Linked DNA regions of Tamandua tetradactyla. The protein of the gene in region 4 interacts with the protein of the main gene of each other region in a biochemical or structural test. Links are inferred from orthologs where the notes say so. Each region holds a gene or a part of one and is shown on either strand. Other genes may lie near its edges.

Region 1 (8,163 bases), about 5.9 Mb from region 4:
CAGCTGACTGTGAAGATCAAAGCTTGGGAGAGCAGAGGCTCTGAAGCCAGGGAGACCACAAGGCCACAGATCATTCCAGAACCGGAGGTAGTTCAGGTGGGCTGCTGGGAAAGAAATTAGGACAAGCTCCAAAAGAGTCCATCAGGTTCCACTGGTAGTGAGAAAAGAGGCTGCACATCTTCAGGTTACCCCCCAGATAAGGATGAGGGCTCTTGCCTTCCAGGTACCAGCATATCATGTGCCCCAACCTAAGTTGTCCACATTTTCCTCACCTCCAAGAGCCATCTTTAAGAAAGCTTCAAGGCCTGCTAAGGGTGAAAGCACCTGGCCAGGGCTCCTGAGGTCAGGAGCAGCTGCATTCTCAGACAGGTGCGATGGGAAGGAGGCTTGGAGCCTACAATTCCTCAGCGCAAATTCATCTCTACCCAGTTCCTGAGGTTCTGTTGTACAGCCAACCGGAGTTTGAAATTTATGGGACAGATTCTGCTGGAGGAACCGAGTTTGGGACCCTCGAGGAAGTCACTGGTGAGCGCCATTTGCTCCAGAAGCTGCCGAGGATGCAATAAAGACAACAGATGGAGCTTTGCTTTCTTTTCAAGGTGGTGCAGGGGCAGCCCAGCCTGGGGCTGTCTGGGCCGAGCAAGGGTCAGGGGCCAACCAGAAGTGGGCATTTTAAAACCAAACATGAGGGCGTTGTGGTGGTGGCTCAGTGGTAGAATTCTCCCCTGCCATGCCAGAGACCCCCACTGAAGGCTGTGGCATTCTGTAGCCCACCTACACTCAACAAATATTTGTTGTTGGCCTTCTCTTGACCTGTACTATGATAGAAAGTAGGATGAACCTCTCTATTTAAGGCATCTGCACATATTTTTACATTCTTATTCAATTCCACATTTCTGTTGTATTTTTTACAGCAGACTTCTATTTTAAGGGCCTCGATCCTATTTTTACCGAGGGAGCCGCCCCCATTGGAGCTTAACATGGTTATTTTTCTTCATAGCACTTTCCATGACCTGGCAAAATATATTTACTTATTGCCTGTCTTTCCCTAAGACTCTAAGCTTAGTGGGGTGCTTTTTATGCACCTACAATGGTGCCTATAGCTGTTGAATGAAAGATTTTCCTCTTTCTGTAAAGCTCTTCACACTCACGCCAAGGTTCAAGGTATACAGATTTTTTAAATTAGAAAGAAACCTATTAATACTATCTCTTATGACAAAAACAAAAGATGCTGCACTGGGGACATGGGTTCCGATACTGTAGACTCGGGTTTAGCTTTGGGCTGGAGAAAAGTTGTAATTGCCTGTGACTCTAATGCCTGCCCCTCTGTTACCTGGCATCACCCAAGTTTAGCCTTTCCTACCAGTGAAACCTCATCTGTCTATGGTGATTGTTTTCAAGATTTGGGGCATTCCCTGGAAAGTTCCATCAGTCCTGTATTTGGACTTATAGGCACTAAACCTTCGAGTCATTCTTTTACTTTCATTGAGGCTTATTAAGCGAGTGTTGGCTACATGCCTGTTTCTTGGGGGTGGATATCAGAACAATCAGCACTGTCCCTGCACTCAGTGAGGTTCCTTGGGGGAGAATGGACACCTCCAGGACCAAAAGGCTGTATTCACGAGCCTCCTGTAAACTGTGCAAGGCTCTACTTGAGCTCAGAGGGCTTTGGATATCAGGGAAGTCTTCCTGGAGGAGGTGGGATATGAGTGGGATTTCAACAGGCAGAGGGGGTGGGAAGGGCTAGCCAGGGTGGCAATCAATAAAAGACAGGCCAAGAGAGGAAGGGAACCTCTCTTGGGGAAGGAGGCTGAGGGTCTGGTTGGGCCACAGAGGTGAACTATAGGATGTAAACTGAAGAAGTGGGTTAGTGTCGCTCTGGGTGAGCCTTAAATGACCGACTGTGTGGTTTGTACTTTTTCACAATGGCATCAGGATACCAAAGCAAGTTTTGGAGCCAGGGATGCTTGTTGCAAAGTGGGATTTTAGGAAGATTATTCTGAGGGTTGTTGGTGGACTGCTTGGGTAGAACCCAGAAATTCAAAGAAGAAATTTGAGGGAGAGAAGTTTTGGGAGGGAGAGAAAGAAATAGGAGACTTTGGACTGGGAAGACATGGGGAGGGGGAAAACACTGACAAATGAATGGATTTGTTTGACAGAGCTTATGAAGGGCATTTGGTGACTGTATGAATGAAGTGGGAGCTGGGGAAGGCGATAATTTGGGGCAATTTGACAAGGGCTTTGTGCCTCAGTGACTAGAAGGATGATGCAGTGGCAGAAAATGAAAATCATTTTGGAAATTTTGGATAGGGCAAAAGGAGGATCTGTTTGGGTTTTAGACACAGAGAACTAGAGATGGTGATGGTATAATAGGTGGACATATCCAGCAGGCCAGTAGCAACCAATCAGCCATCTGGTCCCTTGTCCATTCTGATCCCTGCCCTGAGCTGAGGGCTGGAGGCCCTTCAAGCTTAGCAGAAACTACTGATCAAAGGAATATGGAGAGATGAGGCTGAATCAAGCCCTTGATGACTTTGAGGTGTCTGGTTCATCTGACTCAACAGAGAGTTAAATATGTCCCATATCTTCCACGTTTTCCTAACAGGCCTATGTGCATCCCATCACCATTTGGGAATGTGATGTGGCCAAAAGTCCTCATTTGGAGTTTGAGGTTGTATCCAGGCCCAGTTGAGCCCTGCCCCACTCGGGGGTAGTACCTGGCCTCTGTTTCCTATGTCTCAGAATTTGGGGCGGGGAAGATATTGGGGTGCTCATGAATATTCTGAGAGGCTGTACCATTGACTCCCTTGGTTCCAGCCAAGAAAGACCTTTTTCTGGGACCCATGCCTTTGCAACCCCCTTCATAATGGTTTTGAAGGCAGAAAGGTGAGGCAGCCCACTTCCACATTGGCTGATTTTTAACTTCTATTCCCTTTTGAGGCTGTCTTCAGTGTTCATTTCCACTTTATTTTCCCTGGATGGGCATACTGGAGGCAGGGGTAGGGCAAAGGGAGCTCGCTGTTACTGGTCCTGCCCTGCCCCCTGGGTCCTCCTCTCAGGGAGAAAGTCAACCAGCAGGGACATGGAGATCAGTGCAGTGCCTTCGGCATCTCTGAGAACCCTGCCAAGCAAAGCCCTTTAATTAAGATGGGGCCAACACAGCAGTCCTGGCAAACATCAGTTCTGCATCCAGCTAGGTGGGAGGGGCGGTGGCTGGAAGATGATGCCATTGTTTTCTGAGGGGCCTGGCCTGCCATTAGGTGACTCAGTAAGTTTCCCAGCACCTTGGCCAGGAGGCAGGGACAAGACTGCAGCTTTATCTATTTTTTTCCTTTTAGGGTGGGACTGCTCTGCTTTGGCACTTGGTTCACAGGAAAGTGTTCAGTAATCATCCCCATGCCTGTGATCCCTGCAGAGACCGATAGCCTGCATGAGCTTCTATGGTGTCCCAGGCCCCAGACCTTGGGGGTAATACCTGCTTAGGTTTAACCCCCAGCTCCTCTTTACCTCTCTGGACCTCGTTTTTTCCAATATGTAAAATGGATGCAATAAGTCCAGCCTCACAGGCTTGTTGTGAGTGCAAATGAGACAATGTGTGTAAAGTGCTTAGCTCTGTGCTCTAGCCCAATAAATGGCAGTTACTATTATTATTATTATTCTCCTTTCTTGAGCTATTAGATAGTGGTGGTTAATGGTGAGGTTTCTGGACTGAGATGATCCAGACTCAGTGGGTTTGAATCTTGAGTTGTCCTCTTTCTAGTTGAGTGACCTTGGGCAACTTCACCTCGCCGAGTTTCAGTTTCCTCATCTGTAAAATGGGGATAATAACAGTCCCCATTTCACAGGGTCATTGTGAGGATTAAATAATGCAGGTCTAGTGTTTAGCACAATTGCCAGCACATAAAGATTGCACCAAAAAAGTGAACTACCATTACTATGATTATCATTTTTTCAACCCTATATCTGTCAGAGTCTAGATTAAGGTGTCATCTTTCTCACAAATTCATTAACCACTTCTCTGATCTTCATTGATTTGGGCACTTCTTGCAATCCATTTTGCATTGTTTCTGTTCATGTCCATCTCCTTCAAAAGGGCCTCCAGGATCACCTTGCCATTTCCTTGAGGCTTGTCTTACAAATAATTTTTTGGGTCCAAAAAACCTCAAGAATCCAATCCCCAAAGCACTGAAATAAGAATTACACTGTATATTACACAGCAAATGTTACTAAAATTGTTTTTAAAACAGTTCTCTTCCTCCAAATTTTCACTCCCTAAACAGCTGACCATCTCCGTTTTTCCCCTGTCTGAGCTACCTCTCCCTGCAGAATATATATATATATTCTGGGTTCTTTTGGGATCTGAGAGAGATGAATACACATTCATACACACATGACTCAGCACATATTTAAGTAAATATGTGCCCAGATATATACAATATAAAAATAAACATATATATGAATCCTCATGGGACCCCCAACAAATCCATTCATTCATTCAACAAATATTTGAGTTCTCATTGTGTCTGGGACAAAGCTATCAGTTGGGATAAAGAAGGCATAAGAGGTTTCATTTTTCACGGAACTTAAATTCTATTTGAGGAAGAAAAGGACAAATACACAATTTTGCCAGTGGAAGTGCTGGAAAGACAACACAGAGCTTAATGAGCGCGATTACGGGGAATTAGAAAACTATTCTGTTCTATTGGGTGATCGGGGATGGTCTGGGAGGTGAAATATGCGTCGACCTTCATTTTATAAGTGGGGACACTGGAACTTGGGCACTTAAAGGCCTTGGAGGCTAAAAACAGGAAGGCGGCCTCCCAACTGCTCTACAGTGGTGCCACTTCGCCGAACCGCAGATTGTTTCGGTGAACCTTGTCAAGTCCAAGCCGGGTTCCCTGCGGGTCCGAAGCGCTTGCGCAGAAGGACACCACCTGTCTGACGTCAACGCGCCGGGTCCAGACCCGCCCCCCTGTGACGCCCTCCTTGCCACCGCCCAGCCCCGTACGCTCTTGCGCTTGCGCGCATGCTCCGAGCCCCGCCTCCGAGCGTCACAGAATGGCCTCGGACACCCAGGCAATCTCTGACGTGTCGGGGAGGAGCCGGGCGCCGAGGTGCGCGGAGTGGAGCTCAGGGCTGTGGAGAGGAGCGGAGCTGAGCGGCTGGGCGGGCCTGGCCAGGCCAGCGGAGCAGAGACGCGGGTCGAGCGGCGGCGAACATGCGCTTTTGACACATTGAGGTGAGCCTGCTGTGCTCGGGGCGCTCCCGCGGGGGCCGGGCCAGGCTGACGGCGCCGAGGCCTGTCCCTGGGGATCCCGCGGCACCGGGAGCTGCGCCTGAGGCCCCGCCGGGCCGGGCCGGGGCCGGGGTTCGGGACGGCCAGTCCGGGGGGTGGGCAACTGTTTCAACCGCTCTAACTGTCCCCTCCTCGCTCTGGACCGAGGTGCGGCCCGCTAGGGACGCCTGAAAGGGAGCGAGCACAGCGGCCTCTGGAGGAGGTGCCGCGGTCCCAGGGTGGGGTGAGGAACGGAGACCGGACGTGGCCCCGTGGGCCGGGGCGCTGGTGGCGCAAGGAGTAGCCCTGTTAGAGGTGGCAGCGGCGCGCCCAACCCTCCACCCCCCTTAAGAAAAAAAAAGAAAGAAAGAAAAACCTCATCTGGGAGGTTTGGAGCCGGGTTGGGTTTGGAGTCCTCAGCGCAGCTTTCCCGCGGGGGGCGGGGACGGAAGCTGCTTCGGGGCTCGGATGGCATTGCCATGACTCCCCCCCGGATCTGCTGAACATCTCTTTCGGAGATCAGGAAAGTGTTATCATATGGGTTCGAGTTGCTTGTGCTCGTTCCTTTCAGGTTGGTAAGCAACGAGATAACCCTTTAAGTTTTGCCAAGGAAGTGAAGGTTCATTTTTCACGACTGATTGTTACGTTCCATTTCCGTGGCTCGTGTACACCCCTTAGAACCCTCTTGCCAACATCCTTTGATCCTCATCATCCTTTGGTTGTGACTGATTCTGTTAGCGCCTTAACGGATGGGGAAATGGAGCCTGCTGGGGGAGAGATGTTAAGTGATTTATACTTGGGTACAACCAGCTGGTGAGTGGCTTAGCTTGGCTCAGAACTTAGGTCTCCAAGCTTGGAGTTCTGATTTCTTTTCAACTGACTTTGATACCCTTCTCGGCTAGGAAGCGAGGCAGAAAATTTGACTTGTCAAAAGATGGAATACCAGAAGCTAGTAGATAACTTACTGAAATATTTTTGAGCGCACTGAAATGGCTAGTATAAAAACCGCCACTCAGTTATGAGAAAAATCCTACTCTGAGGCTTATTCGTAGGTTGTTGGTTAGTTATTTTGTCTGATTAATTGTGTTGTTTTAAATCGATTTATGAAGTAGGGTAGTATTAGCTGAGTCTTGAAATGAATTAGTTGGTGGGGACAAAATGCAGCTTTAAGTTATGAGTTGAAGAGAAGTAAAGGGGAACTGAGTGAGGTATCTCTTCTGAATTATTATAAAATTATTATTTAAGCAAAAAGACACTTTTGGCTGGCTTTGGTTATAGGTTGGTCAGGTCCGGATTCTATATAGAATTTGCTCAGTCTTTGAAGCTGTAGTTCTGTTTTGACTTTAAATAATTGAAGTTGGATAAGGAATGCTTAAAATAGCTAGATACCTTGGTAGAAATTTAGTTCGTACTTTGGTGACATCTGCAAAATTTATTCTCATTTTAAACCATGCTGAGATAAATTTGATTACTAAAGCTTAAAATTACTTCTGACATGAATTTCTAGCACATCAAACAGTAATAAAAGAAGTTTGATAGGACCGAAAGGGAGGCCATATTTATAATCAACTTGAAAAGTTAAAAATTCTCCAAGAATTCTGGTAAAAACTCACGTATTACCTACAGTGAACTCCAGAAGTACTCTTTCAGCCTCAATAATTCATTCTACAACTATTAGCAAGAAGATAATATGCAAAATAGATTTTCTTACCATTGTGCAGAGTAGTTTCCTTGTAAATATAGCATTGTAGACAGAGTGTTTTATACTCGAATGGGTTGATTTGAGTCACTGAATAGCTGAAGGTCATTCACAGGATGGTAAAGCCTGATGTAAAATTTGTGATACTTTTGCCATCCGTTGAGACATGGTACTAGTGGAAGATTGGGGGGAAGGGTAAGTATATAATTATCTGCCTTCATTTCAGTGTCAGAACATTGTGGATGTACCATTAAAGCATTTCTTTAGCAGTATATTTTTCTGTATTGGCTAACTTTCTATAGCTTTACTATCTCTAGTTACATAGATTCAAATAACATGGTGAACACATCCTCCCACTGTAACTTGAAGCACTTTGAACATTCTGTTTTTAAAGCCCCTGAAACATTCCTTTGAATATCTGCCGTCATAGCAAATTTTTGTCATTTTATGAAGAGTCTAATTTTTAGAAAGGGTAAGTCTGATGAATAAAATTAGAGTGATAAAGCTATATAATACCAGTCAGGAAACGATACAAATGAAATCTGACCGCAAAGTAAGAACTTTTTGTTTAGTTCTTAACATGGCTCTTAAAAGCTATTTCAAAAGGGAAATTTTTAAAATGTTTTCGCTAATGGTAGTATCACTGGAATATGCATATAGTTTCCTGAATTTTAAGGAATTATTTCTATGTTAGAATTTTGAAGCATATTTACTTTGTGCTTACACTTCATAGATTAACTTCTGAATCATCAGTCTACTACTTAACGTACATTTGTGCTGTGTTTACTATGTGCCAGGCTCTATTCTAAGTACTTTGCAAATATTAACTCAGTTTTTAAATTAATTTTAATTATTCTCATTTTACAAGTGAGGAAATGGGGCACTGAGTGGTTGAGTAACTTTCCCAAGTTTGTTGAACTAGTAAGTGAAATCTGAATTAAAACTCAAATTAGTTTTAGAGTTTAGTCGTGTAACCACTATGCTGTCCTGTACCTGTGGTTCCCGGTCAAATGTTTTTACTGGAAAAGAAGGAAGTAATTTAAGTAAAATTTTCAGATGTAGTTTATAATACTGTTTGAGTGGCCAGTAAGCAAGTTTACAAGATTGACTAGAAAAATTGTAGTCAGCTTTCAATTTACATAATAAGATTCAGTAAGAAAATAAAGGAACTTGTGTGACATATGAACAC
Region 2 (8,326 bases), on a different chromosome or scaffold from region 4:
AACAAAATATAATAAAATAAGAAAATGTTTAAAGATGTTTCCCTTTCTTCCTCCCTTCCTTCCTTCCATCCTTCCTTCCTTCTCTGTCTTTAAAAAAAAAAAAAAAAAAAAAAAAAAAAAAAGATTAAGACCCATCTTGGATTGAGTGGGTCATATCTCCATGGAAACAACCTACTCAAAAGACCCCACCCAACAATAGGTCTGCAGCCACAAGAATGGATTAGAAGACCATGGCTTTTCTGGGATACATAATAGTTTCAAACCATACATGGAAAGTATGAGGAGGGTTTTAGAATACTCATTCATCACAAAGGGGGAAGGATAACCTAGCAGATACCACCTTAATCAAGTGGCCAAAATAAACTACAGGACAAATGGAAATTGTGCACTACCTGATAGGATGTACCAAGAATACAGCATCACTTCTGTGATATTTCTGATAAAGGTTCATAGCCTGAGTCTCATCACAAGGAAACGTCAGACAAACTCAACTTGGGTGACATGCCACAAAATAACTACAACTCTTCAAAGTTTCAAGGTTGTGAAAGGCAAGGAAAGGTCAAGGAACTGTTCCAGACTGACAGACTAAAGAGACATGACAGTAAATGTCAGGAGAGACTTTAGACTGAGTCCTTTCACTACTACAAATTTCACTGGAACATTTGGTGAAACTTAAATGGGGTCTGAGATTAGATGGTAAAATATTTAATGTTAATTTTCTGATTTTCATGGTTATATAGTGTGGTAGTTAGTTTAGGCATCAACCTTCAGGAAATCTAAGATCTAGAGACACAGACCTGCTTTTAGTAGCTTCAAGTCTAATAGGGGAGCCAGGACATCCACATCAGTGGTGGAAGTGAATGCTAAAATGGAGTGGGCAGAGCTTGAACTAGAAAGGATAGGCTCCCATCTGTATAGCACTTCACAGTTTACAAAGTACTTGACAACGGTTATCTCAGTTAATTTTCAGGCAGCAATGGGAGGCCAATGCTACTATTCAAGTAGAAACCTCAATCGTTGCCATTAACAATAATAATAGCTGTCACTTTGATCATCTACCATGTGCCAGGTACTGGACGGGACATTAACTGTAAGATTAAAGAGCATCCAATGAGATAATGTATTTGAAATTGCTTTACAATCCCATGACCAGGGTGCATACGGTTACTCTTGTGTGCAGAAGTCTTGGACTGGTCCAGGGGGCAGCTGGAAAATCCCAGATTGCAGTCAGCGGGGTTAAGGATTGGGAGTATGCAAGCCAGCACTGGGCACCTTTTCATTTCCTGGAGGTGTCATACACATCCATGCCTCAAAGCTTTTGCTCATGGTCACCCACTGCCTGGGATGCCTGTTTGCTTGGTAAGCTCCTGGTCTAGCTCCAATGTTACCACTTAAGCACAGCCTTCTGGTCTTTCCCTCTCCACCTCTTCAGTAGAATAAATTGCTCCCTCCCTGAGTTCCAAGGTCACCTAGTCCACATCTAATGAAGCACTTAGCACATAGTGCCGTCACTCATTACCAAATGTGGATGGGGTCAGAAGGCATTAGGGGAGGCTGACTAGTCACCAAGGGGCCTTCCTGGACAATATTTATTATCTCGGTGAACTTACCAGGGTCTAATTTCAGGTCTTGGTTTCTCATCAAACAAACATCCAGGACTGATTTACAAAATCAGAATGTCAATTCAGGGAGGTAGAATTCTAAGATGAAGTGGGTAAGTGTGTGGGCTGTTGGGCAAGATTGCTTGGGTTTGAATCCTGCCTCTGCCCTTCCAGCTGTGCAAACTTCAGCATGTGACTTCACTTCTCTGTCCCTGTTTTCTCACTCCCCAAATGGGGATATCAGCATTTACATCATAGGAACACTGTATAGGTTAAGTCAAATAATATTTTTAAAGTGCTCAGTCAAGTACTGGACACAGTGAGAAGTCAGTAAATTCTACCAATATTTATTGATAAATTTATAATGAGATTCAAAGGTATCAGGCAAAGACCATTTGTTCATTTCCCAGGTATTTATTGAGGTTTTTACAATGTTTGAGGCTCTGAGATGAATGCTCAGAATATAGTGAAAAATCAGACACGTGCTTTCATAGAGCTTATATTCCAGCAAGAGAAGATTACTGGATCTTGGTGTAGAACCACAATTTCTTGATCATAAATTTCAAATTATAATAAGTAATTACAAAGGACAAGCAGAGGACATTTTTCCCCCTTTTTAAATTAATTTTTTTTAAAAAATATAACACCTAACAAACAAAAACATTCTTTAAAAAATATATATAACAAAAAACAAACATTCTTAACATATGATCATTCCGTTCTACATATATAATCAGTAATTCACAATATCATCACATAGTTGCATATTCATCATCATGATCATTTCTTAGAACATCTGCATCAATACAGAAAAAGAAATAAAAAGACAACAGAAAAAAATTCATACATATCATACCCCTTATCCCTCCCTTTCATTGATCACTAGCATTTCAAGTTACTAAATTTATTTTAACATCTGTTCTCCCTAATTATTTTTATTCCATATGCTTTACTTGTCTGTTGATAAGGTAGATAAAAGGAGCATCAGACACAAGGTTTTCACAATTACACAGTCACTTTGTGAAAGCTATATCATTATACAATCATCGTCAAGAAACATAGCTACTGGAACACAGCTCTGCATTTTCAGGCAGTTCCCTCCAGCCTCTCCATTACCTCTTGACTAACAAGGTGACATCTATTTAATGCGTAAGAATAACCTCCAGGATAACCTCTCAACTCTGTTTGGAATCTCTCAGCCATTGACACTTAATTTTGTCTCATTTCTCTCTTTCCCCCTTTTGGTTGAGAAGGTTTTCTCAATCCCTTGATGCTGAGTCTCAGCTCATTCTAGGATTTCTGTCCCACGTTGCCAGGAAGGTCCACATCCCTGGGAGTCATGTCCCACATAGACAGAGGGAGGGCAGTGAGTTTGCTTGTTGTGTTGGCTGGAGAGAGAGGCCACATAGCAGAGGACATTTTGAAAGTAAAAGCTATAAAGATTTAATCTGTACATAATGGTCAGTAAAGGCCTCATAGATGAAGTGGCACTTGGGCTGAGACCTGATGAATGAAAAGGAGTTGGCCAGAAAAGGTCTAGAACCTAGGGCAAGGAATTAGAAGAAGTGAAGGAAGCCAGTGAAGAGGGAGCCGGGTGAATGAAGAAGGAAGCAGGATGTAATAAGACTGGAGAGGTGGCCAAGTCCCTGATGAGGCCACAGTTGGGAGTTTGGAATTTATCCTGAATGCAATGGCAGTTCCACCAAAGGGCTGGTTTTAAGAAGGAAGTAACAAAATCTGGCTTACATTTTAGAAGGATTGATCTGGCTACTGGGTGGAGAGTGGACTATAAAAGGACAAGAAAGGAAGTAAGGAGCCCAGTTAGGAAACTGTAGGAGTGGTTGTCAAAGCAACGACTGGAGTGGTAGCAGCATAGATGATCAAAAGGGATCAGAATCAGGATATATTTTGGAGGGAGAGCTGACAGAATTTACTAATGGATTAGATGAAACTAGAATTGGGCTTGGACAAATGTGTGAATGAATGGAGATTTTGGCTTTGGCAAATGGGAGTTTGAAAGAGCCATTTAACTCAATCAGGAAGACTTTGGGAGGAAGTAGTTGGGGAGGGGGTGTTCCAAGTCCGCCATGTTACTTTTCAGATGTCTACTATTTAAGTGGAGCTGTCCAGGAGGCAGTTAGATAGATGAGCCTGGAGCTCAGGAAAGGTCAGGGCCACAGATATCGATTTGGACATCATCAGGACAACCACTGGAGTCAATGAGATCACCTAAGGAGAGAGTGTGGCTAGAGAGGAAAAGAGGAAAAAGCAGGGGATAGAACCTCCAACATTTTACAAGTCTGTGACGCACAGGACACTGAGAAATGTTAATAAGTTGGGAAGAAAACCAGTTAAATGGTGACACAGAAGCCTAAAGAAAAAAAGTGTTTCCAGAAGGAAGAAGGGGTCAACTGCAGCAGTTGCAGCTGAAAAGTTGCATAAGATAACAGCGGTCCATTGGCTTTGGTAATATGTAGGTCATTGTAATTTGATCAGAGCTGTTTAAGAAAAGACCAATTAGAATAAGTTGAGGCAAGATGAGAGGTGGAAAGTGGAGAAACAAGCATAGAATTGTGCTATAGAATGAGCACTAAAAATCGGAGCAGGAGGAGAAAAGTGAACTCATGGATTTTGTTTTTTAATTACTATTATACCATATTTGTAAGTAGATAGGAATGATCCAGAAGGAAGAAATTTGTGATGCAGGAGATACAAAAGGGAAAACTGCATAGTGTAGAGTCCCTAAAAACACTAAGATGATAAAATTCATTGTTTAAATAGAGTAGAGAGAGCCACCTTAGATGGCCAGGATCTGTTCCCACATTGACAGAGTGAAGGCTGAGAACAGGGAAAGTTACACTATCAGTGCCGCCTAGTGTGAAATGAAAATATGAGGCTCATTGTTCAAAAATTATTAAGAATTTCAAGACTGCGACAGCGGAGTAGTAAACCAAGCATAGAGGGCTCTTCAAGCCTGGGGCCTGTGTAGCTGCAGAGTTTGAATGGCAAGAAGCCGGTTCTCGTTGAGTCTGTGATGGTGACTGTGAGGGGTGGGGGTGGGGCGGTCCTTCGGGTAAGACCCTTCTACGTTCTGGGCCTCAGTTGCCTCCTGTAAGTATTGGAAAAGATGACTAAGTGTATTTTCAGCTCCACCGTTCTACAAAACAGAAAAGCAAAGTTTCTTCCTTTCCAATTTCCAATCCCGCCAGATTTGAGCCCTGTGCTTTCTGGAAGGCTCCAAAGCATTTGGTGACCATAGCAACTGACGCCAAACTCCTAGGCCTTCGGCTCCGCCCACCGCTTCATGGACGCCTCGTTGATTGGCTGAGCAATCCACGGCCAATGGACTGTGAAACGGGATGTTTGCCGCGCGGCCAATGGCCACCGCCTGGGCCAGAGGCGGGAGAGGAAGAGAAGAAGGCGGGCTCGGGCCGCGGGCTCACGTGCGTGTTTCCGGCTCCGCTGCGGAAAGCGAAGGACGCGAGCCGTTGGCCCGACGCGACCAAAGGAGCGAGGAGCGCTTGGGGCGCGAGTGCGGAGTTCGGGGAACGGATAGAGGCCGGCGCGATGGGTGGGGACCAGGAAGAGGAACGGTTCGACGGCATGTTGCTGGCCATGGCTCAGCAGCACGAGGGCGGCGTGCAGGAGGTAACGGCCCCGCGCGGCGTCGGCCCAGCCGGCTTCAGCGTGGCCTGCCTCTCCGGGCGGCTCTTATCACGCTCCCTCTTCCCTTCTTTGCCTTCGAGGACCGAGATCCACCCCTGGGGCTCGCGGGCTTCCGCGAGTCCCCCACTTTCTCCCCGCGCTCCAGCTTCCGGTCTGGACTCTCAGCCGGCGTGTCCCTGTCTTTTCATATCAGTTCCGGCCCCCGGGCGCCTTTCTCGCTCCTATCGCTGCCACTTCGGCGTCCAGAACAAATCATTCAGTTTATGAAACCGAGGCCCAGAGAGGGGTGGGGACTTACCTGAGATCATCCTTTAGGCTCTGACCTAGCCTGAACCAAGCTCCTTAGGCCAGTGTGCTTTTCACAATACTTTACTTATTCTGTTTTCATTGTGCCCGTTGAAACCCATACCCAGAGTCTTGGGTTTTCCCTTTTGATTTCCCACATGGTTCCAGTCCGGTGCTCCCATTGATGGCCGCCCCCGAAGAGCATTCCTTAGGATAAACTTTGTTAGGCATTGTGATTTGCATCTACCAAGATTTGCAGTGAGCGGACTAGAGTCTGTGGGGTGTTTGTTGGGGGTGGAGGGTGTGTTAGCACGTGGCCTTTTTAAAAAGGTCTTGAATGGGAGAATAGGAGGCCTGTGCTCACAATTGGTTTCCACCACCCACCAGCTTGGGACCGTTCCACCCCTCCTCAAGCATCAGTTTCCTTATTTCTGAGAAGGGGCTCTATGAATCCCTGTTTTCCTGAATCATTGTAGAGAAGTGGTATCTTGAGGAAGGACAGTGGAGAGTTTTCAGTGATCAGGCTTGTTAGTTCAGCCAGCATTTGTTGAGTGATTGAAGTGTGCCAGACACTCCCTGGGCTGGGTCTTGGGGATACAGACTTGAGCAGAAACCTCCTTGTCCCCGATGGAGATAGCAAAGTGCTTTTCCAAAAGCATGATTCATGCTGAGTGATCAGTCCATGAACTTTAAGGGCACGTAGTGTAGATTTTGGAGTTTGTGTTTTGAAACAGAAACAGAAAGTGAGAAATAGGAAAGCCTGTCAAGATCAGTCCAGAGCAGTCATTCTGTTTATGAAACTAAGGCCCAGAGAGGGGTGAGGACTTGGCTGAGATCATCCCTTCGGCTCTGACCTAGCCTGGACCAAACTCCTTAGGCCAGTGTGCTTTTCACAATCCTTTGCTTATTCTGCTTATCATTGTGCGCAGGTTTTCACTGTGCTGTCCATTTCAATTATTTCCCTCAGGTGTCCATGGTGTGCAAGGGTTCCCGAGCCCTGGGAAGTAGAGAGGGTATAACTAATTTGCAAGTGTAAAATGTCTTTCTGCCCTCTACCTTCCCCTAAATCTTTGAGACAAAATGAGATTTAGGATTGAGTTCAGTTTTCAGTGGATTGGAAAAGTATCCAGAAGCAGGAATTGTATCGTTGAGATAAATTCTAGCATCAGATTTAGAACTATATGGGCAAATAATAGCACTTGGATATGCTAACATTAGGTCACTACTAGCTCTATTCATTAATCAAGAACTGTACTGAGCATGGACTCTGAGCTGCATGTGCCAGGCATTGGGGAAGGAGTGAGAATAAGCTATGGCACCTGACTCCGGCTTGCGAGGAGTCCATGCTCTGGTAGTGGCCTGTTGTTCTGTGCTGAACACTGCAAAGGGCCTTCCCTCCATTACCTTGTTTGATTTTCACAGGGTCCTTTGAAATAGATCTTGCTACTATTCCTGCTTTACAGAGTTAAGACACTTCCCCAAGTTCACAGCTAATAAATAATCAGTTTGACACTCAAACACATGCTCTTAACCACTTGGCTACAATGGTACCTTAGCCAGAGTTATTTGGTCTTGCCCTTCTTTAAGGTGGCTTCCTTTCCTCCCCTCTTTCTGGCTGCCCTGCTAGCTCAACCAGTGCCACTCTGGATAGCTTTTTTTCCTTTTAAGAGTATTTTAAGCCCTGGGTGCAGAGGTTTGAATGTTCTACATCCTCAGGCTACTTCTAACACCACAAGAAGTATGGAACCATGAGCACGTATATACACAAGATATGAGAAATCCACTTTCCAAGTGGTTTGGCTAAGGTTAGGTTTGGCTTCCTGGCAGGAGTGACTAAGGAGGCCTGTGGAAGACTCAGGTGAGAATAGTTAAGTCCCAAGTTCTCTTGAACTTAGGAAGTTGGTTCTTGTGCAGTGGAGGATTCCCAATATGACATGCCCCACAAATTCAGTCTTCTGTCTTTCAGCTTGTCAATACCTTCTTCAGCTTCCTACGACGTAAAACAGACTTCTTCATTGGAGGAGAAGAGGGAATGGCTGAGAAGGTATGTGTTGGGGGCCCGCTCTTCTTTGGGTAGCTCTATCTCTTGAGAAAAGCTTACCTGGCTTTCTTTTGGCATAATAGTAACCTTCAGCAGAAGCAAAACACCAAGGCCAGGGAATAGGGGAAGGGAAGCAAGCTGTCGTTTATTGCAGCCCTACAATTTGTCAGCTGCTGTATCTATTCTACAAGAGAGGCAGGTGTTACTACCCCCATTTTACACATGAGGACATTGGTTCATGGATGTTTTGCAACTTATCCCAGGTCTTGAACTGAGTTGTGGGAGAACTGGGGTTGGGACTAGAGTCTACTCTAAAATACGCCTTCTGTCACTGGCATTATTCTTTGTTCCTTTTTCATTGAAGAGGTTTAACTAATTATAATCAGAGGATGTTAGAAATTGAGGCTTAGAAGACGAGAATTCAAAGTCAACCAATCCCAACTGGTCTAGATGCTGTGACCCAAAGCTCAAGGGTTTGTGACTTGAGGTTTGCTATACTGGATCTGAACCTCTCTCCCCTGATACTGAATTGTCTTCTGATTCCTAGGGGTGTATTTCATTATAATTACATCTTTTGAAAATTGATACATCATATAAAATCACTGAACTATGATTTTATAACTTAAATATTTGTTTTCATTTAAGCTTCAGACAGTAACAAGGAGACATTTTATAAAGAGCTTTTCTGTGGCATAAGTCCTCTAATAAGGTGATGTTCTATAATGTGTTTGAA
Region 3 (8,210 bases), on a different chromosome or scaffold from region 4:
GGACATTTTCTCAGCCTTAGAACTGTAAATTAGCAACTTGTTAAATTCCCCCTTTTAAAAGCCATTCCGTTTCTGGTATATTGTATTCCAGCAGCTAGCAAACTAGAACACCATGTGAATATTGGGGGGATAATAACTAATATTCAAACCATACATATTATGTGCCAGGACATGTTCTACGTACTTTACATATGTTAACTAATTTAAACCTCACAACAACTAGTATAGATACTATTATTATCATAACCCCATGTGATAGGTAAACAGAGGCACAGAGAGGTTACTACCTCATTCAAGTTCACCAACTAACAATCAGAAGAGTCGGAATTTGAGTCTAGTCAGTCTGGCTCCAGAGCCCATGTGCTTACCACAACTCTATATTTACCAAGTTCCCATTTATACTTGTATTTATTTCTGGGCTCTCTATTTTCCTCCATTGACATTTGTCTGCCCCCCCTCCCCGCCTCCACCACCTCTCAGGCCAACACCACATTGTCTTCATTACCATAGCTTCCCAATAGAACTTAGCAGGGAAAATATCCCCTTCTAAATTTTCTTTTTCACAATTTTTGGCTATTCTTAGTTTTATATTCTTTCATCAGCATTTTAGAATCAATTTTTCAGGTTTCACAAAAATTCCTGTTGGAGTTTATTGGAATATTTTCACATACTTAGATTACTTTGGGGAGAATTTTGATACCTTTAAAATATTGCGTTTTGCTATCTGTGAGCCTGGCCCAGTCCTACATTTATTCACTGCTTCTCTTATGTCCTTAAATACAGTTTTATGATTTCCTCAATGAAGTTCTTGCATATATTTGTTGGATGCATTTATTTCAAATAGTTTTGTGTCCCCTATAAACAGTATAAATATATTTTCTAACCTCACTTCCGGTTTGCTTACCTCACCCCACCTGATACCCTGTTCTCTGTACTTCTGATATGTAACAAACTAACAATTGCTTCCTTATGTGATGAATAGTCTTGTTTTCTGACCCTGTTCTTTAAGCTCGGTTTGATTAATCCAGACTGCAGGATATCAAGAAAGATTAACCCTTCTTGTTCATGATTTTTGCAGGCTGTGTTGTCTCCTCAGATGAGTCTTTAGGACCCTCAAGTTCTGTGATAGAAATCTTCTACCCTACATCTTGCCTGTGGTACTGGGTGCGTCACAATTGCTGAAAGAGCCATATTGCTATATTTCCCACAATAAGATTACTTTGCTCTTCCTTCAATCTCTTTATTCTATGGAATCCTCAACCACGATTCCCCTTTGATCTTCAAAAGTGACTTCCATACTTAAAGATGCAGCTCCCCTCTGGACTCATGCCTGAGACCTTGTCTTCTGCCAGAGGATGTGAGGACTAAGATCTTGGTTTGTAGCTGAGAGTTCTTTCAGAAGAAAGATCTTTGTGAAAAGTTCTAGTCCTGTTTTAGAACGAGTTTTATCCCCACAGACCATTGGTCTACGAGATGCTCATGGAAAACAAAATGTTTTTTAATAGTGTGAAGCCCAGAAAATAAAATGTTCTGAGATTTTTTAATTGTGTGAAGCCCTTTATAGTAAATTGTATTCTTGGAGATTTACACAATATTTTAGGTGTGTTAAAGGTTTTAAAATTCTTCTAATAAAGAAAACTGTTTAACTTTGTTTATACCACTACTTTTCAAACATTTTTGGCCATAGAACTTTTTTTTTGAGTTTTTAAGGGACACATTAACATCCACACACCTCACATTGGGAAATACTGATCTTGTCTATCCCTCTGTTTTCTGGTGTATATAAACAAACAAAGCTATCTATTCTAGCCTGTGTCTTAAAGACATTTTGCTGCTTCCTGGATAGTGATGCAAAGCCTATATCATAAGGAAGATTACTTTAAGATCCATTTCAAATTCTTGATGTTTAAATCTTAGCACCCATTCATTCTTATATCCTCACCAGAAATAAAGTGATTTTGGGTTCTGTTACAAATTTAGGTGTTGTAAATATACTATATACTTATGATTTGAAAGTTTTAAGACATTGGTCTTGCTGAACAAGGAAGTTGGTACCATTTCTATATCATTCGTTGGAATTTCCATATGTTCTTGATATTCCTTTACCCCTGACCTGAATCACCCTGATTAATCAAGAGGTGTTCACAGCATAAGGCAGAAACACATGGAAAAGAACCAGGCAGACAAATGCACTTCCTGAGACACTTTTTTAGAAACCGGGAGAATAGTAGCAAGATGTTGAGAGTATTTGACTGGGCAGGTTGCTCATTTGAGGTTGTCCACCTAGCACATATCTGGCTTAGGCTTTGATGAGCCATGACTTAACAGAGAAGAATGACAATATTTTTATCCCACTTTGAGGCAGTTTACATTAAAACACAAGTACATGAAGTATTTAAATATGAGACCAAGAGCTGGTTGCTCTTATCAGATATAACAAATTATTGAATATGCTGTTACCTCTCAGCTGCCTGAAGGCCAAACAAAAATGGAACCATGATAGTTCAAGGTTGCTACTTATCAATTCCCGTAGCCTCAATTGTAAAGATAAGAGTCTGCCACTCTTCACTTTCACCTTCCTCTTCTTTTGTTCTATAATTTAGCCTGATCTAATGAGCTCTGTGTGTATGCTTCAGTGCCCTTTATTACATTAATGGTATAAAGAATTCAAATTGTGGCAAGTAGGCAGTTTGAGGAGAGATATGTTAATATTTTCCTTATAGCCATCATGCCTTCTTCACATTTGATTTGAACTCATAAAGCAGAATTAAGCATCATATATCCCATTAATTAAATGTTTACACCAAGCTAAAAGGTATTTGGGGTAGGTTCTTTTTCAACCCCATCCTGCATGAAATTCTAGAACTATTTTGCCTTTCCTTATCCCTTTCTTTTTTCCCTTTAGTCTATTCCACTAAACTTCCATTTCAAAAACAACCAGTTGTATGATGCCTGAACTAACATGTCTTTAAAATTTTTACAAATTTGATTGCTTTCTCTCAAGGGAGTGATAGGAAGACAACTACAATTTCTCAGAAGTCTGGTTTAGCTGTCTGAGTCTAGCCCCTATGCAGATTAGGCCAAGGGTTTGGTAATGTGAAATTTCCAATTCCCTAAAGGAAAACGATAGCACATTGCTCATTAGAGCATTCTGAACTTGCCTGTGCAATCTTTATGCTACCCTGCAATTTCCTGTTGGTTATAAATGAAACCTTTCTGTTAATGCTGCTTTTGAATTGAAAAAAAAAAACACATGTAATTAATCATAGGAGGTTGGGGGGATTCACTGAACCTGAGTTACAGAGGAGAAGCTGGACAAGGCACTAGGACCTAGCAGGCATCTATCCACCCTGGCAGGAATTTCTTGCTTGGAGCTCAGACAACAAAGGCATAGAGAGATTGGTTTTCTTTCTCTCAGCATCTCCACCCAACCAGCAGAAAACCGGTGAGTGGGGCTTTCAAGAGATTTTCAGGCAGAATGTAACAGATGTCAAACGGGAAAAGCACAAGAAGGCAAAGCGTCTCTCTCTCTCTCTCTCTCTCCCTCTCCCTTGTTGCTTTATTCTAGTGGATTTTTTCTTAAGTCTCTACCTGGGATTTGCCTTTGGAAAAGTGAGTTTAATGTTTCTTTGTTTTCAATGTGAGGCTTATTTAGAATAATACCACCCCGATCCTAAATGAAAACGAGATGGTACTGGCACGACTGGAGAAATGCTTGCTCCTTGTCTTTAGGAGGTGGGGTCTTTTACCACTGCAGGTTATTTGACACAGACAATGCTGAGCTCAGCACAGGTCATGGTGACATTGGAAGAAAAGGGAACAGAGCCTGGCAAACCTACTAAGCACCAGCCCCCTTTTATCTCCTGTCCTCCTGATCCCTTGCAAAGATCTCGATGGGGCATTATGTAGCAGCCAAGCCCTGCTTGTTTGTGAGTCCTTTTATCCCCATCTGTGAGATGCATGTTAATAGTTTGGTTCCTAGGATGTCATTACCTTTGCTAGCATTTGGGAGTTTGGGTTGTATTTGGTTTCATGTTTTGAATCTTTTTTTCTTTTTTTTTTTCTGATTCGGCAGGAGAGAGGAAAGCAAAGACTGACAGATGACCATCTTTTGCCTCAGTTAATGCACCTGGGCAATAGACATATTTGGAATGAATTGCCCACTGTGAGGACAAAATACCCCATCAGTCAGGGTAGAAACCCAGAACAATGAAAGGTGTGCTTGCTTCTAAAGGTCCCATATGTTGTTCAGGGACTCATGTGGGAATCTTTCAACAATTAAATTATTCCATTATGAGGTTAGGTTGCAGTGGTGGGGAGGGGATGGGGCAACTTAAAAAAAAGAGAGAGAAAAGAAGAAAAGGATTTTGTGACCAAATGGCACAGGGGAAAGCAGACCTAATAACTTGTTAAATAACGGATTTTTCTAATCCTTTTCTTCCAGCTTATTTCTTATGAATGTTGGATAGCTGCACCAGCTTGGTGGGGAAAGGGTTTGATGAATAGCACAAAGACGCTGGCTAGTCCCTGGAGGCTGTTCCTTTAAATGAGAATCCTGGTTTATTCTGGGGGGAGGGGATGCACACATTAGTGCAGGGAAGAGGGTTTGGAATAAAATTAAAACACTCTCCTTCTCAGTCATTGTATTGAGATGCAAAGACTGCTTCCTAAACTAGAGATGCTAACCTTGGCTAACTCTTGTTCTCTTCAAAGGGAATTTTGTTAGAATGTGGATTCATTTACAATTGTTAGTCCTGTGGGCATGTGTGAGGAAACAGATGCCAGTTTAAACGTATTTAGCCCGAAGTTACATTTTGATAGGAGCCACTGTCACTAAGTCTCAGGGTTTTAAGCTATTTCAAAATCCTTCCCTTTCCTCTGCTTGGAACAGTGCCAGAAGTGCCTCCCTCCCTATCTCTCATCCCAGCCCCCACAACCACCAACACCCCCTAGCTCCTCCTTCTTCTCTATTAAGATCCATATTCCTGCAGGTCAGTGGCAAGTAGCAGATGGGTCACAGGCTTTTTCCACCAGTTCTTTTCACAAGCAGCTGATCTGAATCTGGATCTGGCTAATATTTAAATTCTATTCTTTTTTTCCTTCTCATACCCTTTTCTTTTCCTCTCTTTACCCCTCATTCCCCCACCCCTTTCTCCAACCCTCAGGTCTCTGAGATTCCACCAAAATATGGAACTTGATTTTGGACACTTTGACGAAAGAGATAAGACATCCAGGAACATGCGAGGCACACGGATGAATGGACTGCCTAGTCCCACTCACAGTGCCCACTGTAGCTTCTACCGAACCAGAACCTTGCAGGCACTGAGTAATGAAAAGAAAGCCAAGAAGGTACGTTTCTACCGCAATGGGGACCGCTACTTCAAGGGGATTGTGTACGCTGTGTCCTCTGACCGTTTTCGCAGCTTCGACGCCTTGCTGGCTGACCTGACTCGATCTCTGTCTGACAACATCAACCTGCCTCAAGGAGTGCGATACATTTACACTATTGATGGATCCAGAAAGATTGGAAGCATGGATGAACTAGAGGAAGGTAATTCAATGGGTGGGTGATGGTCCTTGAGGGGAGGGTGACACCATTGTTTATAGTTACATTTCTTGGATTACATCAAAAGAAATTAGGAAATATGTTTGTCAATGAGTTAATGCTCAGATTTCTTATTCTGCACGTATTAACAGCACTATCACCATTTATATCCTTAGTTTCTTCTGGGGTGGAAGTGATAATGCAGTGTGCTAATCCACCAGAGTATACAAAGAAAAATCTGAAATGTGGCATTTACGCTACCTCTTGTTCATAATTAACCCTGAGTAGCATTATTGAGGCAGACCACAAAATAATTAGAGGTGTTATAAGGAAGAAACGTTGGTTGGGTTAGCAGAGAGACGGAATTATGGCCAAGTTTCCTTTGAACTGCTGAGACTATTTTGTGAATTGCAACTCATTGGAAATATGTACCTTAAAAGCAGGACTTACTGGACATATTCACAGATGATTATACTTTTAGGTAATTGGCCAATGCTCAGCTGTTGCTTCTAAAAAGCCCACTTCAGGGTGTGTCCCTTAGGCTGAGGTCACTGGGAGAAATGCCAAAGAAAGCTGTAGGTATGTCTGGTATTTTAAAAAAGACTTTTCTTATTAGAATAGGAACTGACACACTGTATCTAAATTCCTTTCAAACCTCGGTAGATTGTGGTTTTGGACTCTATTTTCTAACTAGATTGCTGCAAATACGTCAGCCTTTGTACCCACCAGCAAAACAGGGAAAAATCTAAGCTCTTGCCAAAAGTTCCTCAGCCTTAAAGTCTTCTTGATTATCTAATAAATAGATCTTGGGAAATGTTCTTAATATTCTATCTTATCCAATCAATTATATTGAGAATACTTCCCTACCCCTACTTTTAAATTGATGGTTATAACATATATGATCAGTTTAACCTGAAACAATGATTTAAAAGACAGCCTAAAGGAGTGGTGATAATGAAAATATTCACCCGAACCCCCTCCCACACTCTCCAGCCCTTCCTCATCACTCTCTCCATTCCCTAAGCAAAGATGAGTTTGGAGCAGGCAGTTATCTAGGGAAACCAAATTTTGAAATGGCCAAAAAGGAAGGAGCTAGAGTATATTAAATAACTTGGTATGAGAGTGTCCAGCCTCCGCTTTACTGCTTCTAGGTTTCTTATGTTCCTAGACAAAGGAGAACGCAGGGCTTCCTTTGTAAAAGACCACAGTTCTCTCAAGTAGCTGCTATTTCCCAAGTTGGGCCAAGTGATTAGTTCCGGTTACTTATGAGAGACAATGAGCATCCAATTGCTGTATCTAGGTCTCAGACCTTAAGGCTAAGGTTTTTCTGCATAATTGACCTTGAAAGGCAACCTCAAGGAGGCTTAAGTTACTTGATCGTGTGTTGGATGGTCAGACAGAGGTTAATTCTAGACCCTTCCTGACCTGTCTGAGCACATATCTTAATGTAAAGGAGAGCCAGGGTAAACGAGGGCGTGTTGCGGGAGCTGTCCAACAAAGTTATCAATTGGGTGTGTTTCTTTTGTCATTGTAAAATCCATTTCTCAGTTGAGTTTCAGGGTTTTTTTTTTTAATAATTTTTTATAAAAAAGCACCCTGAGTCACCAGTTGTGATCTTCTGAATGCTACAGTGTATTCTAAGGCAGTATTTTGAACCAAACAGCGTTGTATTAGGAACAAGGATTAGAATGCTTTCTTGTGCCTGATATGAGAAGTATCATGTATAGATTTCTCCAACAAATCCATTTTAATATCTCCTGCTCAAAGGCAAGTCCTTGATCTTGATTTTGATTTTTCTCCCTGGATTTGTGTATACGTGTATGTGTTGAGAGTGTGTCTGGTGATAAAGACACACTTCATTTTAACTAATAAATGTAATTTTGAAGAGACTGCAGCTTTCTTTTCCCTTGGGTCTTGCCAGACTGTACTCCACTCATCAACCACTTCTGGAAACAGTGGTACATCCTAGTGACTATATGGTACATCCATGTGACTCGGCTTAGTTGCATTTGTTCATTTCTCATCTACAACAGGCAGTAGGCCTTGATGCCCTACTAATATTGAGTTCTGCCCATTCAGTCAAGGAAATCTCTGAGAAAATGTTGAGAAATGTGAACAATTTTCCCACTACCACTGGGATGAGGAAGGTAGAGAAAATGTTTTTTTATCCTATTTTGTCCTTTGGAACCACTCAGTATATATAGGGATGGGTCAGAAGTCCCCTCACTTCACTTGTTCACCTTTGAAAGAGGTTGAATGAAAGATCAAAAATGTATACACTTTGCTTCCCATGAGGTTTAAAGTTGAAAGCAGGTGGAAAGTTTGGAAAGATCCCACAGTGAAGAATCAGAGTAATTGAGTTGTAGTCACAGAAGCAGGAGATTGTAATGGGAAGAGAAGTCTTTGGAATCAGACAAACCTAGCTTCAAATCCATGGTCTGCTACCGGCTATCTTTGTGCGACCTTGGGAAAACCATTTAGATTTCCTGAATCTCACTTTTTCATCCATAAATTTGGAATAGCAGCATTGAGTATTAAATAAGAGAATGGATATGAATTGCTTAGCCTTCTGCTTGGCACACAGTAGCACTCAGTAAAAAGTAGCTATTATTTTTTGAGTTGTCCTAGTTTATAGCTGGCTATTACATGATCATTGGGTTGTTCT
Region 4 (7,227 bases):
CACTATGTTTATTCAGCACCCAAAACAGATAGGTATTCAATAAATATTTCTGAATGAATTAAAATAAAATTTAACCTATTCTTTAAGGTCCTACTTTAAATCCCTCTTGCATTAAATCTTTGAGTCTTCCAGGTGCGAAATTAATCTTTTTGGGGGGGTGAGGTGGGGTGGGTGCATGGCTCGGAATTGAACCTGGATCTTCTGGTATGGCAGGCAATCATTCTACCGCGAATTAATCTTTTACTCCCCGGGGGACACAAAGCAAGCATAAAAGGGAGTAAAGTTTGCTTTTCCCTTTGCTTCTTTTACTGTGCTGATCTCACCAATGAATTTGATTACATCCTTTTGCATTATGCTTCTTTATGTTAGGACTTTTAAAATTATTTTACTATATTGAGAAAAAAACATTTCAGGTTATAAAGTGCTACTTTTAAATATCCCTTCCATGTCTAGGCTGAGAGTTTTGTTCTTTTAATAGCCTTTAAATTGTTTCTATAGTCGCCCAATGTTTGTGACACATAAGGATGGCATGGTGCTGAGATGAAGAATGACTGATCTAGTTGGACCTGCCCTCGTTCACATGCCCATGCTTTATGGAATTGCAAACACACAAATTAATTAGTGAAAATCTTCTAGGGTGAGTCTCTTCTAATATTTCTTGCCAGTTGGGTGATGGTTCTCCTTCAAATGGGACTTTGATTCATAGAACTTGTAGGCTTGAGAGCTACCTTCTCACCAGGTTAATTTGCTATCAGTATGCACATACAACAACTTACATTTGCCTATAAACTACAGAGGACAGTTTAATTCTCAAAGTAATATTTTAACATCTGTGCTCACTGTGAATAGGTTTTTGTTCTGGGCATACTTTTATTGTCTTAAGCTCTTAAATTTTCAGAGTTTATTTTAGAGGCATGTGTAAATAATTGTCTGAATTAAAATGACCAATTGTGATCATTACTGACTAGGCTAGATAAGCTGATGAATCAAAATGGTCTGTAAGGACTTACAAGTAGGAAAAGACCTCAGGAAAAAAATGGGTGGAAAGGTTTCAACAAATACATATGAAATTCCCACATTTTATATAAGGGATCCCAGATTACCTGAAATCCCTGACACACAGCCCATTACAGGCAGGAGTCAAACAATCCTATTTATATAAATGATAATATTCCCAAATAGTGACTTCCCATGCAAGGAATTCGACCTTATAAGAAATTTCATCTAAAATAATGATTGTACTTTAATCCCTTTCTAGGCTTCCTTTATAGAGTTTATGACTATTCTTTGAGTGAATGCTCAAATTAAAATGTTTATCCAGAGATATCCACAGTTAAATTCCCCCCCAGGTATCCTCAATTATATTTTCTGGATACTAGTTCTGCTCTCAAGCCAGATCCTTAAGTCATGTGCTTCGCCAATTCTTCTTGCTTTGCCTTTATTTCCAATGTCTGTATAAGATTTCCTCTAAATTTTAAAACTTCTTTGTTCTTTTTGAAGTTTGATAATCCTGTGCCTTTATCTCTTTTGCTCTGGTCAGAATAAAGTATAGCTTTTTCACTTACAGCATCATAGTTATACTAGACTTAAGAGAAACTATCTCTTGCATGTCTATTCTTAAAATTGGTTTGCTATCACTGAGGATCTGCGCTGTAACATCTTGCTTTCTAAGATACCGATTATAAAAACATTTCTGTCTTGATCATCATTCATGACCACCATTAGGAGGTGTCTCAATTTTCTGGACATACTCTTTTTTTGATGCATAGATCAGGAATTGAACCAGGTTGTCCCACACAGTGGGCCAGCACTGTACCACTAACCTACCCTTGCACTCCGGACATATTTTTAAAAGACATTTTTGTCCTCTCTGCAATAGAAATTTTTGGAATGTTTGTTCCTGTCAGCTTATTTGCAGAATTGTTCAAACTAACACTATTACTGCAGCAATTGAAACAAATGTTTCCATTTTGAAAGTGTCTACAGATTTGCAATTCAAATGAACGGGAAGATTATTAGATTGTGGTAAGTAACATGGATGTTTATATTTAATTTTTTCAAGAAACACCATCCAAAATATCCATTGTTAAATGTTTCCTGGAAGGATATAGTTGGTTCTGGATTAATCTTTATGCATTTTGATAGTATAGCTATCCTAATTCTCCATTCTCAATAGAGAAGTGTTTATTAAGATAGATCCATCATTTTCAGCAACTGAAAAGAAAGTGAATAGAATCATGACACATGCCTCCACATCAAATTAAGCACATAACACAGCTTTATTTCTGTTCAGAAGAGTCACAACCCAGTGAGAAAATTTTTATACCTTCCTCTAAAGGGACTTTATCATTTTTAAAGGATTGCTATAGAAATAAAATCTGATCTCAATTTAGTGCATACTTACAAAACACAGATTTTGAATGCACAAGTTAGGAGTTCAAGGTTTGTAACAATTGGTATTACCTATTTGTATTAAATCAGTGCTTATCAATGTGATTCTGATTTCTTTCTGGTCAAATTTGCTGACTTTTAGAGCATTAATTTTAAAAATAAAGCACAGATTTATCAGACTGATTAAATATCAAGTAGTGTGATTCAGGCAATACTAAGTATTTTTAAAGATAAAAATGAAAGGAGGGTAGATTATTAGAATAAGGAGTGTTAGTTTATTGCATGTTTATTGACTGCCATTGGAAGCAACAGCACAGTGTCTCATCTAGAGAATCCAAGACTCATAAACCTGGAAAAGATTTTCCAGAGACCATTTGATTTAATTCCCTGCCTTTATGAAGGCAAAAACCCAAATACTCTAGACAATTGGCCCATGTTCCTCTTGAACACCTCCAGGAACATTTACAATCTTTCTTGATAAAAAGAAACTTGGTTTGGTATCAACAGCAATAGTAATGGTTACATATGAGTTACTTATGAGTCCCCATTAAGGAGAGAGGGTTCATAGACACAGCATCTCCTCTGTAATTCTCACACAAGCTTTACAAGTTCTTTATTTATTAGGTCTATTTTATAGACAGAGAAATCGAAGCCAAAGAGGTATAGTAGTTTACTCAATGTCCCATTTCTGTTAAGTAGTTTTTCCAGGCGATACACACCAAATTGTCTCACTTTTAAGAAACGTAGTAGCTGCACATCTTTATCTACAAAAATGGAAGAGATGAAATCATTAAACATAATGATAAACTTATGTTCCATTTGAAGTTTTCTTGGACTATACAAATTAATGAGATAAACATACTAGATGCCTCTTATTAAGACTATCCCATATTGAATGATTCAGAACCCCAAATAGGACTTCTTTTAAATTAAGGGTGGAGTAATTTGACTACAAATCCCCAAGACTTCTTTGTTATCAGATTTCACCCTACAATTTAGCCAACGCACACACATAAGGGGCTTTCAAAGTCTGGAAAGCCCAAAGAGCTGGAACTACATTTCTACAAGGCAGGCGCGCGCGTGTGCGGGGGGTGGGGGGTGGGGTGGGTGTGGGTGGGGAGTGGACTAAGAAAAAGAATAGCTGAATCACATCTAAAAGCGAATTCTCCGAATTAAAAATCTGTAATAAACAATGAAGATGGGTATTTCATCTTTTTTAACCTCAACAGTTCTCCCCCTACCCCACCCCCGCAAAACACAAGCCAATATCCTCACTCCTTATTTTTTTTCCAAACTGGGAGATGGATCTGAAAGCAGAAAGCAGTGGGGCAACCACCTGGGTCGGACTTCCCTTTCCGCCAAGTCCTTGGGTGGGGGGGTCCGGGATCTACGGGTTCCAATCGCTCCCGGCTGTTGGCCGGGGAAGCGGGGCCAGCGCCAGATGCTGGCAAGAGCAGCGCGGGAAGGTGAGCAAGAGCCAGAGTTTGTGAGGAGTCAAAACAGTTAGGAGAGGGTTCGGGTGATGGAAGCCGAGGACCCTTTCCCAATGTTACAGAAGCGTGAGGAGCGCTAGGAGTGCCTCTTGGGCAAGAACGTCCCTGCAACCCTCCGCACCGACAAGCCGCACCGGCCACCGCCTCTCAGCGGCTAAGCTAAAAGCCGCGCGGCTCAGGGCCCGGCCCTAGCTCGAGCTCCGCGCATGCGCCGCACCCCTTCGGCTCCCGGGCCCCTCCCTTCTCTCTTCCCGACGGGTCTGGGGCGGCGGCGGCGGCGGCGGCGCGGTGACGTCAGAGCGTTGGGGCAGCTCCTGTGACAGACGGAGCTGGAGCGGCGGGGCGGCGGCGGAGTCGGGTGGCCGAGATAGCGAGTGAGCAAGAGAACGAGCAGCGACCTCAGGGGTCTAGGAAGCAAGAAAGAGAAGGAAGGAAGCGCTCAGGCGCGAGCGAGAGAAATCGCGAGCGCCGGGCTTGGGCTCGAGCCCCCGAACGGCTGAGGAGCCCGCCCGCTCCCCTCCCCTCCCCCTTCCCGGGACCGGGCCCAGCGCGCCATCCTCCCCCTCCCTCCTTCCCTCCCTCCCTCCTTCCTCCCTTCCCTCTCCCTCCCCCCCTCCCCCGCCGGTGGATGGGAGTGAAGGACGGAAGAGGCCCTGCGGAGGCGGCGGTGCAGCGCTCCGGTAAGACGGCGAGGGTCTGCGCCCTCCCCTCTGTCTTCTCAACCGTGCTGGTTCGGCTGCGGGCTCGGCCCGGCGGCCTGACGATGTGGCTGCGCCGGTCCCCTCCCTCCCATTCTCCCCTCCCCCTGCCGCCGCCTCCTCCTTCTTCTTCTCTCCTCGCTCTCAAAATGGCGGCCGCGACGGCCGTTGAGTGAGATACAGGGAGGAGGGGTGGACAGGCCTGGGAGGGCGCTGCCCTCGTTCCCCTTCTCCCCGGCCCGGGCTCGGGGGCTGTTGGTGTCGCCGCGATTCCGCTCGCGGCCCTCCCGGAGAAGGGATCGCCCTCCTCCCCTGGTGACTTAGCAAGAAAAGTATTCTTGGGTAGGAAGGGCGTGGGGAGCAGTCGCTTTCTGATCTTGGGGAAAGCATTCGGCCTTCCTTCCTTTCCCAGTCGCGGAAGGCGAGCTCCGCAGTCCCCACCCCACCCGCGGTTGGTGGCTCGGGGAGCCGGCTCAGACCCGCGCCGCCTCGGTACCCACAAGGGCCTCCCAGGCATTCCGACCCCTACCTGTCCCTAGGATGGAGTTGACCTGAGGAGGATAGCCAACCCCCCTTCTGGCCCCCCCCCCCCCACTTTCGCAGTGGTCCAGCCTCTGCTCCCACCAAGGAAGGGCGGCCTGACCCACGGAACAATCTGCAGCATCCACCCACCAAATGAGACAGGATTTTCTTTTTGCCCTCGACTCGTTAAACGGGAGTTGCTTTTTGACGTTGTAACACTGAGCTTCGGGTCCTCAACCATTCCCCTTCATCTAATTTAATCTCCCCACTTCTTTAAGAGGCAATACCTATATATTCACTTTCTTTAGCTTTCCAGGTGAGAAAATGCCTTTGATGTGGTAGGCAAATTTTAACTCTTCGCTATCTCCCTAAGCATGAGTAGAGAAGAGAGGTTTTAATATAAGGTAGGAGAGTTCAAGGTACCTTCTCTTTATTTGTTATTCTGCCTTTCTAGAGTGACTTAGCAAGAAACTCCTTGGGGAAGGAGGCAGGAAATTTTCTTTGGGGTTGGGGGTTTGCGTCCAGTTTATGTCAATCCTTTGGTTAAGAAATCTTGCTTTTAAAGAGAAGGACCAGATTTGAGGTCTCATTCTGAATGGGCGGTGTCATGCCAAGGTCCCCCCACTCCGCCCCCCTTTCTCTTAAGAAGCAATCCAGAGAGAGAATAAAGATACTGTTATTCCAACCTCTACTTTTAAATACATAATTCTTGAGATTAATAACATTTTAAAGGCTAAGCAAAAAATTTACCATTTTTGGCTTATTTTATTCTTGTTAGGAGGTGGGTTGTTTTGTGTGAATTTCATTTTGAAGCTGTGGCGGAGGAGATAGTGCTTGGGCCTTCTGTACAGTAATAATGTCATCCCTCCCCTTTTGCCACAGTAGTGTTTGCTTTAAATTTTTTGCTGCAGCAGGGCTTGATTGCTGCAGGGTCCAATCTCTTATCAGGAAAATTTCTTGCTTGGTTATGTCGGTAGTGATATGTTGAAGATATATTAAAAGCTTTACTTAACCTTTATTTTAAAAATTTTGGTATGGTTCTAAAGCATTAGCTAGCATTTAAATCTGTGATGGTTGTCTTTTAGGACACAGTTTTGCAAAATAATTGCAGTTTATCTTAAATTGCAAATTGCAGTTTATATTAAAGCGGGAGGGTAATCTGTATTTAGGGTGATTTATTTTTTCATGTTCTGTTGTAAATGATCATTGTTTGAATTGTTCAGAAGGGGAGGATCTAAAACAAATTTGAAGCTGGTGTATGCATTTTTTGCATCATAATAAGGAACCCAATTTTCACTCAAAATATTTCTGCATGCATTGACTTTAATAGAGCAGACCCTGTTTTTTTATTTCCCCCCATCTCCTTTCTAAAAAATTGGCTTGTATTTGTGGATGCTGTGAACAGCCATTGAGTGGAGAAGGCTGGGTGGAGTAGGGGAGCAGAAGCTGTGAAATACTAGATTGCCCTTTCATAGCATTTTTCTCTTGCTTATGTTTCTAAGATGATTCAGTACTAATTGTTGCTACAGCAAAGGCATTTCTAGATAGTATTAAAATCTTGTTTTTAGTTTCCACCGTTTTTTGCAGTATGTAATGATTCTGGTAAAAAGCAATGACCCTGCTCTAGAGCAGACATTTATTGTCTGGAGACTACACACACACACACCCTTGCTAATGTTTTTTATTGCTTTAATTAAATATGTGTAAATTAATGAATGCCAAGAGTATTTGAATAGAAATAGTAATAGAAATACTGCAAAAATTGGAAGAAAGCTACAGATTTACTGTTTGGCTTAAAACAGTATTCTATTTGTGATTTTTAAATAATGAACATCAAAAGAATAAGAATTTGCACTGTAGGTTCTTTAGTGTTACCCCTTGAAAGGGACTTTATTGTAAGGTACTGACATAAGAGAGGTTAAGTCCCTTTAATATCAAGTGTACGTGTGAATAAACATCTTCAAAAGAATTTTAAGTTCATGTGACAATTGATTTTGATAAACCTTTATGAATGTCAATGTATGATATATTTTTACATTTTTTGTTATTTTTAATGTGATAAGAAAGTAGAAGGGCTTGTATGTGGTGAGGAATGAGTAAGGATAGGAATGAGAAGTCACTAT

What was found.
Region 1: the proteins of PAFAH1B1 (region 4) and NDEL1 form a complex in vitro, tested with the Homo sapiens proteins (3 studies listed by BioGRID). The link is inferred for Tamandua tetradactyla from reciprocal best matches to the Homo sapiens genes PAFAH1B1 and NDEL1.
Region 2: the proteins of PAFAH1B1 (region 4) and NUDC form a complex in vitro, tested with the Homo sapiens proteins (3 studies listed by BioGRID). The link is inferred for Tamandua tetradactyla from reciprocal best matches to the Homo sapiens genes PAFAH1B1 and NUDC.
Region 3: the proteins of PAFAH1B1 (region 4) and DCX form a complex in vitro, tested with the Homo sapiens proteins (2 studies listed by BioGRID). The link is inferred for Tamandua tetradactyla from reciprocal best matches to the Homo sapiens genes PAFAH1B1 and DCX.

The regions. Positions count from the first base shown.
Region 1 is NC_135332.1:62,284,341-62,292,503, forward strand, and holds the start of NDEL1 (nuclear distribution protein nudE-like 1), read left to right. Parts: upstream 1-5,071; 5' UTR 5,072-5,239; intron 5,240-5,412; exon of another isoform or gene 5,413-6,088; intron 6,089-8,163. UniProt on the Homo sapiens protein: Required for organization of the cellular microtubule array and microtubule anchoring at the centrosome. May regulate microtubule organization at least in part by targeting the microtubule severing protein KATNA1 to the centrosome.
Region 2 is NC_135328.1:199,318,486-199,326,811, reverse strand, and holds the start of NUDC (nuclear migration protein nudC), read left to right. Parts: upstream 1-4,990; 5' UTR 4,991-5,168; coding exon 5,169-5,249; intron 5,250-7,226; exon of another isoform or gene 7,227-7,410; intron 7,411-7,518; coding exon 7,519-7,596; intron 7,597-8,326. UniProt on the Homo sapiens protein: Plays a role in neurogenesis and neuronal migration. Necessary for correct formation of mitotic spindles and chromosome separation during mitosis. Necessary for cytokinesis and cell proliferation.
Region 3 is NC_135353.1:58,843,912-58,852,121, forward strand, and holds the start of DCX (neuronal migration protein doublecortin), read left to right. Parts: upstream 1-5,187; coding exon 5,188-5,551; intron 5,552-8,210. UniProt on the Homo sapiens protein: Microtubule-associated protein required for initial steps of neuronal dispersion and cortex lamination during cerebral cortex development. May act by competing with the putative neuronal protein kinase DCLK1 in binding to a target protein.
Region 4 is NC_135332.1:56,417,314-56,424,540, forward strand, and holds the start of PAFAH1B1 (platelet-activating factor acetylhydrolase IB subunit beta), read left to right. Parts: upstream 1-4,179; 5' UTR 4,180-4,564; intron 4,565-7,227. UniProt on the Homo sapiens protein: Regulatory subunit (beta subunit) of the cytosolic type I platelet-activating factor (PAF) acetylhydrolase (PAF-AH (I)), an enzyme that catalyzes the hydrolyze of the acetyl group at the sn-2 position of PAF and its analogs and participates in PAF inactivation.